Anolis sagrei: one gene and its partner. The protein of the gene in region 2 interacts with the protein of the main gene of each other region in a biochemical or structural test. Links are inferred from orthologs where the notes say so. Each region holds a gene or a part of one and is shown on either strand. Other genes may lie near its edges.

Region 1 (7,823 bases), on a different chromosome or scaffold from region 2:
AATCATTCCTTGTACTGCTGCTGTCCAAAAGCTTGGTCCCATAGCCAAGGTTTTGCTTAGAAACAATGGCCACTGGTTTCAGCATAGCTCTTAGGTAAGCTTTTAAAAGAAAAATAGGTTTCTTTATCTTGTAGGGAGTTGGTAATCTGCCGAGCTAAATTAAACAGGCAGTTTAACACTACATAAGAAAACTGCCTGCAAATATTTATCACTCTGTAAGCCATTGACCTGCAGACCCAATTCTGCAGTTCCTAGTTATTGACTGTGATACTTCATTAGACACCATAGATTAACAAAGACTGTAGGAAAAAGTCTCTGTGAAAAACAGGAAAAAATTGGAAAGATCTAGTCCAGTGTTTCTCAACCTGGGGGTCAGGACTCCTGGGGGGGGGGTCATGAATGGGTGTCAGAAGGGTCACCAAAGACCATCAGAAACACACAGTATTTTCTGTTGGTCATGGGGGTTCTGTGTGGGAAATTTGGCCCAATTCTATCATTGGTAGGGTTCAGAATGCTCCTTTTAGGTGAACTATAAATCCCAGCAACTACAACTCCCAAATGTCAAGCTCTATTTCCCCAAAACTCCACCAAGTGTTCACATTTGGGCATATTAAGTATTCATGCCAAGTTTGATGTAGATTCATCATTGTTTGAGTTCACAGTGTTCTCTGGATGTAGGTGAACTACAACTCCCAAAGTCAAGGTTGATGCCCACCAAACCCTTGCAGTATTTTCTGTTGGTCATGGGAGTTCTGTGTGCCAAGTTTGGTTCAATTCCATTGTTGGTGGAGTTCAGAATGCTCTTTGATTGTAGGTGAACTATAAATCCCAGCAACTACAACTCCCAAATGACAAAATCCTCTCAATCCCACTAGTATTCAAATTTGAACGTATCAGATATTTGTGTCAAATTTGGTCCAGTGAATGAAAATACATTCTGCATATCAGATATTTATATTACAATTCACAACAGTAGCAAAATTACAATGTATGAAGTACCTATGAAAATAATGTTATGGTTGGGGGTCACCACAAGATAAGGAACTGTATTAACGGGTCATGGCATTACAAAGTTTGAGAACCACTGATCTAGTTTCTAAAACATTCCCTGTGAAGATCACAAAGCAGAGTCAACAAGAAAGGGGAAAGCTGACAAAACCATTTATTCTTAAAACTAAACTAAAATCCTGTCATCTGCAAGTTACATGGTTGCAGGGAAATTGGCTAAGCTTTTCTTGTTTTGTTTTGTTCCCGCAACAAAAAACCAGTTACCACCCAGAAGAGAGAACTCATACCTTTGCTGTTTGGTGCATGACATCATATTATTATATAACGTCATTTTACTTGTTGGCAATGCACTCACTTCCAGTGTACCAGGACAATCTGTGTTATCCTCTGATTATATGATGGAAGTCCAAGACAAACCTCCCCCCCCCCCCCCCCCCTTTACAATCTCATCTGTTCTTTTCTTCCCAATATAAACCAATCACGGACTACTTATGAACAAAGACCCGCCATCTGCTCTGTAACTTTAATATTATTCTCCTCCCCACCCTAAATTTCACCCCAGTTTAATAGTCATCCCATGGCACAAGACACTGGAAAGGATTTTCAGCAATGGAACTGTATTGTGAAATTATGCCAAGAGACTATTTCAATATATTTTGGGTATGTGTGCTTGTGTGTGAGAAAAAAAAATCAACAATGTTTTACTTTCTGCAGTAAAGAAAACAGATATGGAAAGATGGGAGTCTTTCCTCCCCTCGTCCCATATTAACAGTGACAATCTCCCACTGAGAAGCAAAATTCAATTGACCCTGGGTTGTGAGTTTTCTGGGCTGTATGGCTATGTTCCAGCAGCATTCTCTCCTGACATTTTGCCTGCATCTATGGTAGGCATCCTCAGAGGTTGTGAGGTCTCACAACCTCTGAGGATGCCTGCCATAGATGCAGGCAAAATGTCAGGAGAGAATGCTGCTGGAACATAGCCATACAGTTTGGAAAACTCACAACAACCCAGTGATTCTGGCCATGAAAGCCTTCGACAATCAATTGACACTGTTTGTTTTCTCCATCACATCCAGCCTTGGGTTTAATATGCCTGGTGGAAGCAGAGGGCAATGTTGGGGGGGGGGGGGGGGTTGCTTGTTTGTTTTACCAGCCTTGACTCCCTGATCTCCACAACTGGAGATCTGGGGAGAGACTATCATGCCCTTCCGCTCCTTTCCTCTCCCTCTCCATCCCCACCAGCCTTTTCCCAGTTGCAACCTTGGTCTGAACTCCCTTTTGCCACCAACTTGCGTCTTTTTATCCCAGACTCTGGAGGACTGGTGCGGATCCCTCCCTGCCACCTTCTTCCTTTTCCTTTTGAGAATCGCCAGAGGCTCGTTTGGAGCAAAGATGGGAGGAAAATGTTGCAATAGGAGGAAAGGATAAAGGCAAGGCGGGGAGGAAGAAGGGATGGATGCTGCCGAGGGCGGATGGATCGCAGGCGGGAGCTGTCCGCGCAGGATGGTGCTGAAACGCCGCAGCCATGGCATTGCAACAAAAATACAAGGGGAGCGAGGCGAGGGCGGAGGCGGGGAGGAGGAGGAAGAGGAGGAGGAGGAGGAGGAGGGAAGCCTGGGCAAAGCACACAAAAGACCCATCCCAAATACCTTTGGAGCCCCGCGCAGCCCCGCCTCGGGTGAGGTCCTCCGCAGGGATGCTGTCCTCAAAGGCAGATGGAGGGGTTCAGGGAGGCGGAGAGGTCGCCTTCCTCGGTGCGCCTCAGCTCCAGAGCTTCTTCCCCAGGAGCGGCGAAGGAGTGAGCCGGGGCTCCTGGAGGCTGTGCTTTTTTGGGCAGGGACCGCGCGGGTGTGTGTGCGGCTGGGTGCACGCGCCTCGGCCACGCAGAGCCTGCCTCCCCCGGGTCCTAAAGGCCTTCCCTGCTCCTGCAACAGGAGGGCACCCCTTCAGCACCCAGGGCACGGAGACCCCTCCTGTGCCTGGCAGATGTCTCAAGACAGCTCGTGCCATTCACCATTTGCAGCTGCCTCAGCCAGAACATAAAACCCCACCCCAATACCCAGAGGCGGCCCTATGTAATTTTCGGTAAGCAAACAGTATTTTGGCACCCCCCCCCCCCCCCCCACCAATCACAGATATATATTTTCTGTTCACAGTGGGAGTTCTGTGTGTCATATTTGGTTCAATTCCATCATTGGTGGAGTTCAGAATGCACTTTGATTGTAGGTGAACTATACATCCCAGTAACTACAACTCGCATATGTCAAGGTCTATTTCCCCCCAAGAGTGCCTCAAGAGCCCCCCTGGGCAAAATCAACTATACTTCACGTAATGGGTTGAGCCGCCCCTGCCAATACCTTTATGTTGCATAGAGTGTCTTCCAGTGAAAAGAAACTAACCTGACTACCTAGAATTTGTACAACTAACTCTTTATTAGGGATGGGTGGACATGTGGCACTCCAGACCTTGAGGAATGACAACTTCCATAATTCCTCATCACTGGCTATGCTGGATAGGGCTTGTGGGAGATATGATCCAACATTGGGTTTCTGTGAGTTTTCTGGGTTTTATGGCCATGTTCCAGAAGCATTCTCTCCTGTTTGAGGCAAGTGGGAATGCTGCAATTGATCGCCTTGATTAGCATTGAATAGCCTTGCTGCTTCAAGGCTTGGCCTCTTCCTGCCTGGGGAAATCCTTTGTTGGGAATCCTTTCCAGGCAAGGAAACAATCAGGGCCAGTTAATGACCTCCCAACAAAGGTTCCCCCAATCAAGGTGATCAACTGCAACATTCACACTTGCCTCAAGCAGACAAGAGTTCTTTTTCCCACCCTGGACATTCCACAGATATATAAACCTCACTTGCCTTGTTTCCAAAAAACCTCACAACCTCTGAGGATGGCTGCCATAGATATGGGTGAAACATCAGGAGAGAATACTTCTGGAACATGGCATACAGTCCAGAAAACTCAAGCAACCGAATGAGTCCAGCCATTAAAGCCTTTGACAACACATTAACCTAACATTATCTGAAAGACTATGGAGGCCAACTTTTGCTGTAACTTAGCCTGAATCAAAATTGCTGCTCTCCTATTCTTGATTCCCATCTGCCTCAGTCTAATTCTATTTCTCTTCAGTCACTGCCATATTGACCACTGATGAGGAATTGAATGCTTTCAAGACCTGCAGGTTGACAGGTTCTTAGTCCCGGTTCAATGCCAGAGAACAGCCAAAGTGGTGATAAAAGAGCATAAACATATTTGTTTGGGTATGGTCTACCCTGGGTCCTGCATAAGAAGAAATATAGTATAATTATAAAAAACATTAATAATAAATCCCCCAACATGGTGCCCTCCAGATGTTTTACCATGTATTATCCATCATTCCTTATCATTGGTGACAATGACTGGAAGCAGTGGTTCCCAACCTTTGTTCCTCCAGGTGTTTTGGACTTCAGCTCTCACAATTCCTAACAACTGGTAAGATGGCTGGGATTTCTGGGAGTTGAAATCCAAAACACCTGGAGAACGAAAGGTTGGAAACCACTGGCTGGAAATAATAAAAATTGTGATCTAAAATATCCAAAAGGCAACATGGCTACAAAAGAACCACAATTTGCTTTGGTGTACAGTAGTTGATAAAAACAAAATAAGTAAACTGTGTATGGCAATTTTAAAATAGAGGAGTTCTTCAATGAGAAGAAATGGTAATTACGCTGCTATGCACACTTCTAGGTAAAAGATCCCCCTCTCCTCTTAGTGAAAACTTTTCCAATAGTACATTCATATTACTTGAGGTCCATCATTTCTAAAGCAGACTGACAACACATCTGAGGGGCAAATATCACAGTTAATAGAAACCTATTTACTTACTAGATCTTTCAGTGCTCATTCATGAATTGCATGTTGCAAGCATCTCAGAGGAATAGCAATTATGAATTAAACAGAGAATTCTTCTTCCCTAATCTACAGTTGTCATTCGGAGTTGTTTCCTTTCCAATTACTCCCTTCAAATGTTTAGATTTAAAACTATACTTACCAGAGTTTTTGCAATCAATGGCTAACTGTTCATCAGTGAAGTTAAACATACTGCTACAGTCTGCTCCATTTGACAAGGCATTCTGTTTTAAATTAATGTGTTGAGTTGTGTGTGTTATATTTTTTTTTAAGAAATGTAAAAGATGGCATGTTATGATGTAGTTTGAAAACACAGGATCAGATTCTTCCATGTCTTCCAAACTTATTCATTTTTTAAATTTTAAAATAATTTTAATATAGTGGACGATTGTTGCTTGTGGGCCTCACATATTATTTCTGGACCAAGTGTCCTGCAAATTTTGAGTTCCAATATTTTGTTTTGCTCTTTACTTGACCAATAGTACCTCTACACCAGGCATGGGCAAACTTCAGCCCTCTGGGTGTTTTGGACTCCAACTTCCACAATTCCTAAGGAATTGTGGGAGTTGAAGTGCTAAACACCTGGAGGGCTGAAGTTTGCCCAATTCTGTTTTACATCATTGGAGGAATGCTATTAGCTTCTTCTTCTTCTTCTTCTTTTTTTTGTTATTTTTCAAGGCATTTGGAGGCTATTAGGCTTGTTCTGGGTTATCATGCAATGATTTTGTGTCGGTAGATAATACTATCTAGGCAAAAAGAGCTCCTAACCATGGCAACTTTCAATAGTACCCCTTCTGAAGTGGGAAAATTGAGGAATGTTATTTCTTTTGTGGGGGTGGCAAAGCCAAAAGAAATGACAGCCAGAATATGGCAAAGGTGGAAGTGAAAGGTTCAAGGCAGAAAATCCCACAATATCTGTTTTGAACTGGGTTATCTGTGTCCACACTCAGATAATGTGGGATTTTCTCCCTTGATATTCTGGCATATAGGGCTGTGTGGAAGGGCCCCAACTAGATACAAAGGGTGATGTAGCAGAACCTGAAGTTGTAGGTTCAGGGTTCTGTAAGCTTTTGGGAAGCAGGGTAATTGACATGAGCTGCCACCCTACTCGGGCTTCCCTGCTTCCTTTGAGTTTAGTGGCTATCCTCGCAGAAGCTGCAGGCAGCGGATGGATAGGATTTTCCAATATACTCTTATGATTTATCCTTGTTGTCATGCATGACTTGCATGTGAATGGGCAAATAAAATTATGATATCACTGACTTTTTATGGAAAATGCTGTTTTATGTGTTCGATATTGTGGTACTAAGGTAAAAAGCTGGCAGGAGGGGGAATGAGAATGAAATACTGGAAGTGAATGATGATTTGTGGAATGTCTGGAGGAATTTGAATAATGGCAGACAGTAGAGTTAAATAGAGAATTGTGGTGAAGAGAAATGAGTGGATGAGTGAGGATGAGGGTTAAGAGAATCAGTCATTCAGGTTAGGAATTAATGAATGGCATTTAAGAGTCAATTAGCTAGGACTCGAATGTGTGCAAGACTGTGAATAATGTTCTAAAATTATTTTTTAAATGGGTATGTTTTGTATGTTTGAATTTTGTTAATAAAGTATATTTTTGTATTTTCATTTCTCTACAACTGCTATATATTATAAATATTCAATTTTGACATTATGTCTATGGAGGCAGCCGTGAATAAAGAGATTTTGTGTCTGAGAGTAAAAGTTGCATATCATCCCACACAGGAGTATTGAGGGTATCTCTATGTGACAATAGCATGTGGGATGGGAAGAAGCCCTTACATTGCTGAGGAGGATAAAGGTCAAGGTAAATGTTTCCCTTGACATTAAGTCTAGTTGTGTATGACTCCGAGGGGAGGTGCTAATCTCAATTTTTAAGACGAAGAACTGGAGTTGTCCATAGACATCTCCAAGTTCATATGGCCAGCATGACTGCATGGAGTGCCATTACCTTCCTGCCAAGGCAGTACCTACTGATCTCACATCTGCATGTTTTCAAACTCCTAGATTGGCAGAAGCTGGACCAAACAGTGGGAGCTCACCCCGCTCCCTGGATTCGAACTGCCAACCTTTTGATCAGCAAGTTCAGCAGCTCAGTGGTTTAACCGGCTGTGCTACCAGGGTGTCCTGCTGAGAAGGAAGGATAAGGGAAAATCCTGACTCTTGGTGACTTCAGTGAGATTTTTGGCAGAATTCATTTTTGATGACATTGGAGATTTAGGCAGAAACTCATACGGGTGGGAAAGCAGTGGGATGAAAGGGAAACAGTTTCACAGAGATCTAGATTGGTGAAACAGCAGGAATTGATTTGTGGATGTGAATCAACACAGCTCTCTGGATGTCATAAGAAGTGACTGCATTTCAACATCTACGACCACACTGCCATGGCCTTTCCACACTGTTCAGTTATAGCACTATGAATCCATTTGAAGTCTCATGGCATCCTAGAAGCCTAGGACACTACAGCTCTCTGGCTGAGAATTCGAAATACAATCTCTGCAAACTGCAAAAGCCGGGATATCATAGAATGTTGTAATTGCAGTTAAAGTGAAAGGATTGTACTATAACGATGTAATGTAAAAAAGCTCCTGGTTGAGGGAAACTTATTATTTAAAAAATAATATTTGGGGGGGGGGGAACCTTTACTTTCTATGCTGCCATCCTGTGGAATCCTGGGGTTTATAATATGGTGTAGTGGTGCTACTCTCGAGTTCTCTGCTAAACAGATCAAATCCCTGAATCCCATAACAATTAGCCATAGCTGTGAAAGTGGTCTCAAACTGTTATGATTGTACAGTGTAGATACATTAACTTTGTGGAGGAAAAAGGATAAGATGACACTAGCTACAACAGGGGAAAATTGTGCTATTCACTCCCTAGACTCCCCTCAGTCTCAGTGC
Region 2 (7,383 bases):
AAGATCCAACCAGTCCATCCTCCAGGAAATAAAGCCTGGCTGCTCACTGGAGGGAAGGAGACTAGAGACAAAGTTGAAGGAGGAGACAGCAAAGCCTAGAGAAGACAATGATGCTGGGGAAAGTGGAAGGTAAAAGGAAGAGGGGCCGACCAAGGGCAAGATGGATGGATGGCATCCTTGAAGTGACTGGACTGACCTTGAAGGAGCTGGGGGTGGTGACGGCCGACAGGGAGCTCTGGCGTGGGCTGGTCCATGAGGTCACAAAGAGTCGGAGACGACTGAACGAATGAACAACAACAACATACAGGATAAAACACATACATACAAATATTAATAAATTAACATGAGTCAAATGCTCTAGTAAAAAGCCAGGTCTTAAGTGATAGGATAAAATGCCCTAAGTGACGCATGGCTCTCATATAGGGTGGCAAGGAATTCCATAAGGCAGGGGCAGAAATGGAGAAAGCCCATCTGCGTCTGGTGCTTTCCAAATGCACTTCTCTAGGACCCGGTATATAGAGCAAATCGCGTTGAGATTGTCGTAGCAACCTCCAATGATGGGAGAAGGAGAGACGGTCTCTAAGATACAATGGACCCTGGCCATATAAGGTTTTAAAGGTCAGGACCAGCATCTTATACAAACCATGATAATCAATTGGAAGCCAATGTAGATGCCGCAGCACTGGAGTTATATGACATTTCAAAGGCATTTTTGTGATTAACCTGGCCTCAGCATTCTGTACAATATGGAGCTTTCGGGTCGTAGACATCGGAAGGCCAACATATAAGGCGTTGCAATAGTCCAGCTTAGATGTGACCGTGGCATGGACGACTGTTGCCAGCGCCTCATCCGATAGGTAAGGTAACAATTGCCTCGCTTGTCGTAGATGGAAAAAGGCCTGTTTGCTGGCAGCAGCGGCCTGAGTTTCCATTGTCAACTGCGAATCCAAAACGACACCTAGGCTTGTCGAAGGCTTTCATGGCTGGAATAACTCAGTTCTTGTGGGGTTTTTTCGGGCTATATGGCCATGTTCTAGAGGCATATAGCCATATAGCCCGAAAAAACCCACAAGAACTGACACCTAGGCTCTTAACGGTAGGCGGAGATAGAGCAGCACCATCAAAGGTGGATAGCAAATGGGTCAGACCTATCGAGCGGCCATGCCAGAGAATCTCAGTCTTTGCCGGGTTCACCTTCAGCCTACTAGCACGTAGCCAGTTCGACAGAGCCTCCAGACATAAGGTGAAATTGTCTGGTATTGTCGTTGCTCCCGGCTCCAAGCGCAACAGGAGTTGGGTGTCATCCGCATATTGATAGCAGTCCAAGCCAAATCTCCAAGCCAAACTGGCAAGGAGTCTAACGTAGATGTTGAAAAGAAGAGGGGAGAGAACTGCACCTTGGGGTACCCCGCATTCATAGAATCAAAGAGTTGGAAGAGACCTCATGGGCCATCCAGTCCAACCCCCTGCCAAGAAGCAGGAATATTGCATTCAAATCACCCCTGACAAATGGCCATCCAGCCTCTGCTTAAAAGCTTCCAAAGAAGGAGCCTCCACCACACTCCGGGGCAGAGAGTTCCACTGCTGTACGGCTCTCACAGTCAGGAAGTTCTTCCTAATGTTCAGATGGAAGGGGGGAACTTTGGAGGGGGGAACTTTTGGAGACTTGATCCATATATTCCATGCACTGACTCCGGTTAATGAGACATGCTGCATTATCATGGGGTGTCTGCGCCCTACACCACTGGAGAAATTACACTGTTTAGCTGGTATCGCACCACCTGACATCCGCCGGGAAGTAGCAGCAAATAGTGAAAGGACCAAGGCTGTGACATCTCCAGCTCTTCCCTTGTTTGGGTATCAGTCAGCACGTCAATGACTTAAATCAAGAAATATCTTTCTAAGATCTACAGAGACACTCGCTGGAACACCTCAGCAAGCGAGAGTCCAAAAGTGGCAGGCTCAAACCCAGAACCTCAACCAATGGCTGATACCAAATGAGAGACTCCCCCCTGGGCACACAGAAGACTGGGCGACTTGGAAGGCGCTGAACAGACTGCGCTCTGGCATCACGAGATGCAGAGCCAAACTCAAGAAATGGGGCCACAAAGTTGAATCCTCGACATGCGAGTGTGGAGAAGAGCAAACCACTGACCACCTGCTGCAATGCAACCTGAGCCCTGCCACATGCACTATGGAGGACCTCCTTGTGGCAACACCAGAGGCACTCCAAGTGGCCAGATACTGGTCAAAGGACATTTAATCAACTACCAAGCTTGCAAACTTTGTGTTTTGTTTTGTTTGATTGTTAAAAAATGGACACAGCATATTATTTGAGAACACAGAAATGCTGGACCACTCTCACAACCACCCTGTCAGACTGCACAGAGAAGCCGTTGAAATCCACTAGAAGCATGTGGACAATTTCAACAGAAAGGAGGAAACCATGAAAATGAACAAAATCTGGCTACCAGTATTAAAAAAAAACTCTAAAATTACAACAGCAAAACAACAGAGGGAAAACAATCAGGGACAGCTAATCACCTCTCAACAAAAGATTGCTCCAGGCACTGCCAGGCCATCAAATGCTAATCAAGGTGGTCAGTTGAAACATTCACACCTAGCTCCAGCAGACAAGAGTCTTTTGTCCCACCCTGGTCATTCCACAGATATATAAACCCATTGTCCTAGTTCCAACAGACTTCACTACCTCTGAGAATGCTTGCCATAGATGCAGGCGAAACGTCAGGAGAGAATGCCTCTAGAACATGGCCATATAGCTCGAAAAAACCTACAACAACCTAGTACAGGGGAAGTTTGCAAACTTTGCAACACTGTATCCTTAATGCTCACCCCGCCAGGACCGGGAAAAGTGGCTTTTCTGGGAGTTTTCTTTCCCTCCGCTCCCGGGTTCCAGGTGCGGTTGGTTGTCTTCGGAGGAAAGGAGGAGGAAAAAAGAAGGAGGAAGGAAAGAAGGAAGGAAGGACGAAAGAAAGAAAGAAAGGGGTGGCCCAAGCAAAGCGGAAGAGCCGGCTCGAGCGCTCCCTCTGGAGGCCAGAAGCGGAATCGCGGCGCTCGTGGCTCAGAAGCTGCTGCTAGTAGTGCTTCCTCTCCTTTGGACGAATTCTAATCTCCTTTTCCTTCTTCCTGCTTCCTTCCCCTTCTCCACCTCCACTGTTACTACTTCTCTCTCTTCCCTATTAGTACCGTTTCCCGCACTACTATTATGTACTATCTCTCTTCTTTGCCTTTCACTACTACTACTTAGAATCATAAAATCATAAAGTTGGAAGAGACCTCATGGGCCATCCAGTCCAACCCTATTCTACCAAGAAGCAGGAATATTGCATTCAAATCACCCCTGACAGATGACCATCCAGATATATTCCACACTGGGCATGCGTATTCAGCAGCAGAGTAGCCAAACAAAAGGGCAGATGCCTTCACTGTGTCTGGTTGTGACCCCCAGGTTGTTCCCATCAGCTTTCATATGATATTCTTTCCAGCATAGAATCCTAGAGTTGGAAGAGACCTCATGGGCCATCGAGTCCAACCCTATTCTGCCAAGAAGCAGGAATATTGCATTCAAAGCACCCCTGACAGATGGCCATCCAGCCTCTGTTTAAAAGCCTCCGAAGAAGGAGCCTCCACCACACTCCAGGGCAGAGAGTTCCACTGCTGAGCGGCTCTCACAGTCAGGAAGTTCTTCCTCATGTTCAGATGGAATCTCCTCTCTTGTAGTTTGAAGCCATTGTTCCGTGTCCTAGTCTCCAGGGAAGCAGAAAACAAGCTTGCTCCCTCCTCCCTGTGGCTTCCTCTCACATATTTATACATGGCTATCATATCTCCTCTCAGCCTTCTCTTCTTCAGGCTAAACATGCCCAGCTCCTTAAGCCGCTCCTCATAGGGCTTGTTCTCTAGACCCTTGATCATTATAGTTGCCCTCCTCTGGACACATTCCAGCTTGTCAATATCTCTCTTGAATTGTGGTGCCCAGAATTGGATACAATATTCCAGGTGTGGTCTAACCAAGGCGGAATAGAGGGGTAGCATGACTTCCCTGGATCTAGACACTATGCTCCTATTGATGCAGGCCAAAATCCCATTGGCTTTTTTTGCCACCACATCACATTGTTGGCTCATGTTTAACTTGCTGTCCAAAAAGACTCCAAGATCTTTTTCACACGTACTGCTCTCGAGCCAGGCATCGTCCCCTATTCTGTATCTTTGCATTTCGTTTTTCCTGCCTAAGTGGAGTATCTTGCATTTGTCCCTGTTGAACTTCATTTTGTTAGTTTTGGGCATTCATCTCTCTAATCTGTCAAGATCGTTTTGAATCCTGCTCCTGTCCTCTGGAGTATTGGCTATCCCTCCCAATTTGGTGTCGTTTGCAAACTTGATGATCCTGCCTTCTAACCCTTCATCTAAGTCATTAACAAAGATGTTGAACAGGACCGGGCCCAGAACAGAACCTTGCTTATGGCACTCCACTTGTCACTTCTTTCCAGGATGAAGAGGAAGCATTGGGGAGAATCACCCCCTGGGTTCGTCCACTTAACCAATTTCAGATCCACCTCACCGTAGTTTTGCCTAGCCCACATTGGACTAGTTTCCTTGCCAGAAGGTCATGGGGGACCTTGTCGAAGGCCTTCCTGAAATCCAGGTACTTGCGTTTCTTCTTCCTGTCTCTCAACCCCTCCTTGTTCTTTCCTTTCCACCAAAAGTACTATTACAGTACTAGTTCTTCCAACTTCTTTAATCACTGCTACTTGTTCTTCTGTCTCTTCATCTTTTTCTACTACTAGTAGTAACGACTTCTTTCTCCTGCTCCCCTACTACTACCTAATCTTCCTCCTTTCCTTCCTCCAGTACTACTATTTCTCCTCTTCTTCTTTATCCCCTCCTCCCTTACTACTACTATTCTTATTCTTTTTCTTCTTTCTTCTCTGCCATGATGAATGTGTCTTCATCTTCCTGCACTACTAGTAGGTTCTACCTCTCATCTTTTGCCTTCCGCTACTAGCTTTTTCCTCTTCCTGTCTCTCATTGTCTTTTTCTTTCCACCAAGCGTACTACTACTTCTTCCACCTCTTTCTCCTCCTCTACTTTGCCTTCTGCCTCCTCATCCTTTTCTACTACTACTAGTACTACCTCCTTTGCTACTACTTGTTCTTCCTCCTGCTCCCCTACTACTGCTACCTGGTCTTCCTCCTTTCCCTCCTCCAATAACTACTGTTTCTCCTCTAGTTCCTTATCCCCTTTCTCCCTTACTACTGCTCTCATTTCTTTTCTTCCTCCTCCTCTATGACTAATACATGTTCCTTTTCCTGTATTACTAGTAGGTACTAACTCCTATTTGTTCTTCCACATCTTTCTCCTCTACTACTACTTATTCTTCTGTCTTTTAATTCTTTTCGTCTACTACTGCTTTTTCTTTCCAAAGAAGTCTCAAAGTGGCTACTACTAGTAGTACTAACTCCTTTGCTACTACTTGTTTTTTCTCTTGTTCCCTACTACTTCTGCCTGGTCTTTTTTCTTTTCTTCCTCCAGTACTGCTACTATTTCTCCTCCTCCTCCTCTTCACCCCCCTCCTCCACTACTTCTAGTTGTTCTTCCTTCTGTTCTTCCTTGTCCATTACTGCATTTACTCAAGTCCAATATAGCATCAAATCTAATGCACACCTCAATTTCCAAAACCCTGAAACCCAAAACAGGATCCATCATATTCCACGAATCTAACGTGCACCCTAATTTTGGGAAGGTAATTTAGTCCAAAAAAGGTGAGCATTCGAATGGAGTAAATGCAGTATTTCTCCTCCTTCTCTTCTTTATTCTCTTTGTCTGCTACTACTTCCTTTTCATGGCATAAAAATGGGGAAAGCCTGTTGCGAATGCCTCTGGAAATGTCATAAAGACAGTTTCGGGTTTTCCCCAAAATTACACTTAAACCTCCTTTGAAATGAGACCTGGACAGACACATCCTGTTTTTTGTTATTATTATTATTTCAAGGGCTGCAAAAACAGAACAGGAACTGGTTGCAAAGTAATCAGACTAGGACACGGAACAATGGCTTCAAACTACAAGAAATAAGAGTCCATCTGAACATGAGGAAGAACTTCCTGACTGTGAGAGCCATTCAGCAGTGGAACTCTCTGCCCCGGAGTGTGGTGGAGGCTCCTTCTTTGGAAGCTTTTAAACAGGGGCTGGATGGCCATCTGTCAGGGGTGATTTGAATGCAATATTCCTGCTTCTTGGCAGGGGGTTGGACTGGATGGCCCATGAGGTCTCTTCCAACTCTTTGATTCTATGATTCTAAACCCTTGTGCCAACAGAAGTGAAGACTGACAGGTCATAGGTTCGAATCCGAGGAGAGCGTGGATGAGCTCCTTCTGTCAGCTCCAGCTCCCCATGTGGGAACATGAGATAGCCTCCCATAAGGATGGTAAAACATCAAAACATCCAGGCAATGTCCCCTAGGCAACGTCCTTGCAGACGGCCAATTCCCTCATACGAGTAGCGACTTTCGGTTTCTCAAATCGCTTCTGACACACACAAAAAAATCCCACTGAACATAGAATCATAGAATCAAAGAGTTGGAAGAGACCTCATGGGCCATCCAGTCCAACCCCCTGCCAAGAAGCAGGAATATTGCATTCAAATCACCCCTGACAGATGGCCATCCAGTCTCTGCTTAAAAGCCTCCAAAGAAGGAGCCTCCACCACACTCCAGGGCAGAGAGTTCCACTGCTGAACGGCTCTCACAGTCAGGAAGTTCTTCCTCATGTTCAGATGGAATCTCCTCTCTTGTAGTTTGAAGCCATTGTTCCGCGTCCTAGTCTCCAGGGAAGCAGAAAACAAGCTTGCTCCCTCATCCCTGTGGCTTCCTCTCACATATTTATACATGGCTATCATATCCCCTCTCAGCCTTCTCTTCTTCAGGCTAAACATGCCCAGCTCCTTAAGCCGCTCCTCATAGGGATTGTTCTCCAGACCTTTTATCATTTTAGTCACTCTCCTCTGGACACATTCCAGCTTGTCAATATCTCTCTTGAATTGTGGTGCCCAGAATTGGACACAATATTCCAGATGTGGTCTAACCAAAGCGGAATAGAGCATGGGTAGCATGACTTCCCTAGATCTAGACACTATGCTCCTATTGATGCAGGCCAAAATCCCATTGGCTTTTTTTGCCGCCACATCACATTGTTGGCTCATGTTTAACTTGTTGTCCACGAGGACTCCAAGATCTTTTTCACACGTACTGCTCTCGAGCCAGGCATTGTCCCCCATTCTGTATCTTTGCATTTCGTTTTTCCTGCATGTCAAGTGTTTGAAAGACATCATGCATGTCAAGTGTTTGGAAGAGTCGGTTTACCAAGCAG

The links.
Region 1: the proteins of LRRK1 (region 2) and CLVS1 form a complex in vitro, tested with the Homo sapiens proteins (2 studies listed by BioGRID and IntAct, with this or other methods). The link is inferred for Anolis sagrei from reciprocal best matches to the Homo sapiens genes LRRK1 and CLVS1.

The regions. Positions count from the first base shown.
Region 1 is NC_090024.1:47,513,072-47,520,894, forward strand, and holds the start of CLVS1 (clavesin-1), read right to left. Parts: upstream 3,022-7,823; 5' UTR 2,658-3,021; intron 1-2,657.
Region 2 is NC_090029.1:13,127,608-13,134,990, forward strand, and holds the start of LRRK1 (leucine-rich repeat serine/threonine-protein kinase 1), read right to left. Parts: upstream 3,010-7,383; 5' UTR 2,854-3,009; intron 1-2,853.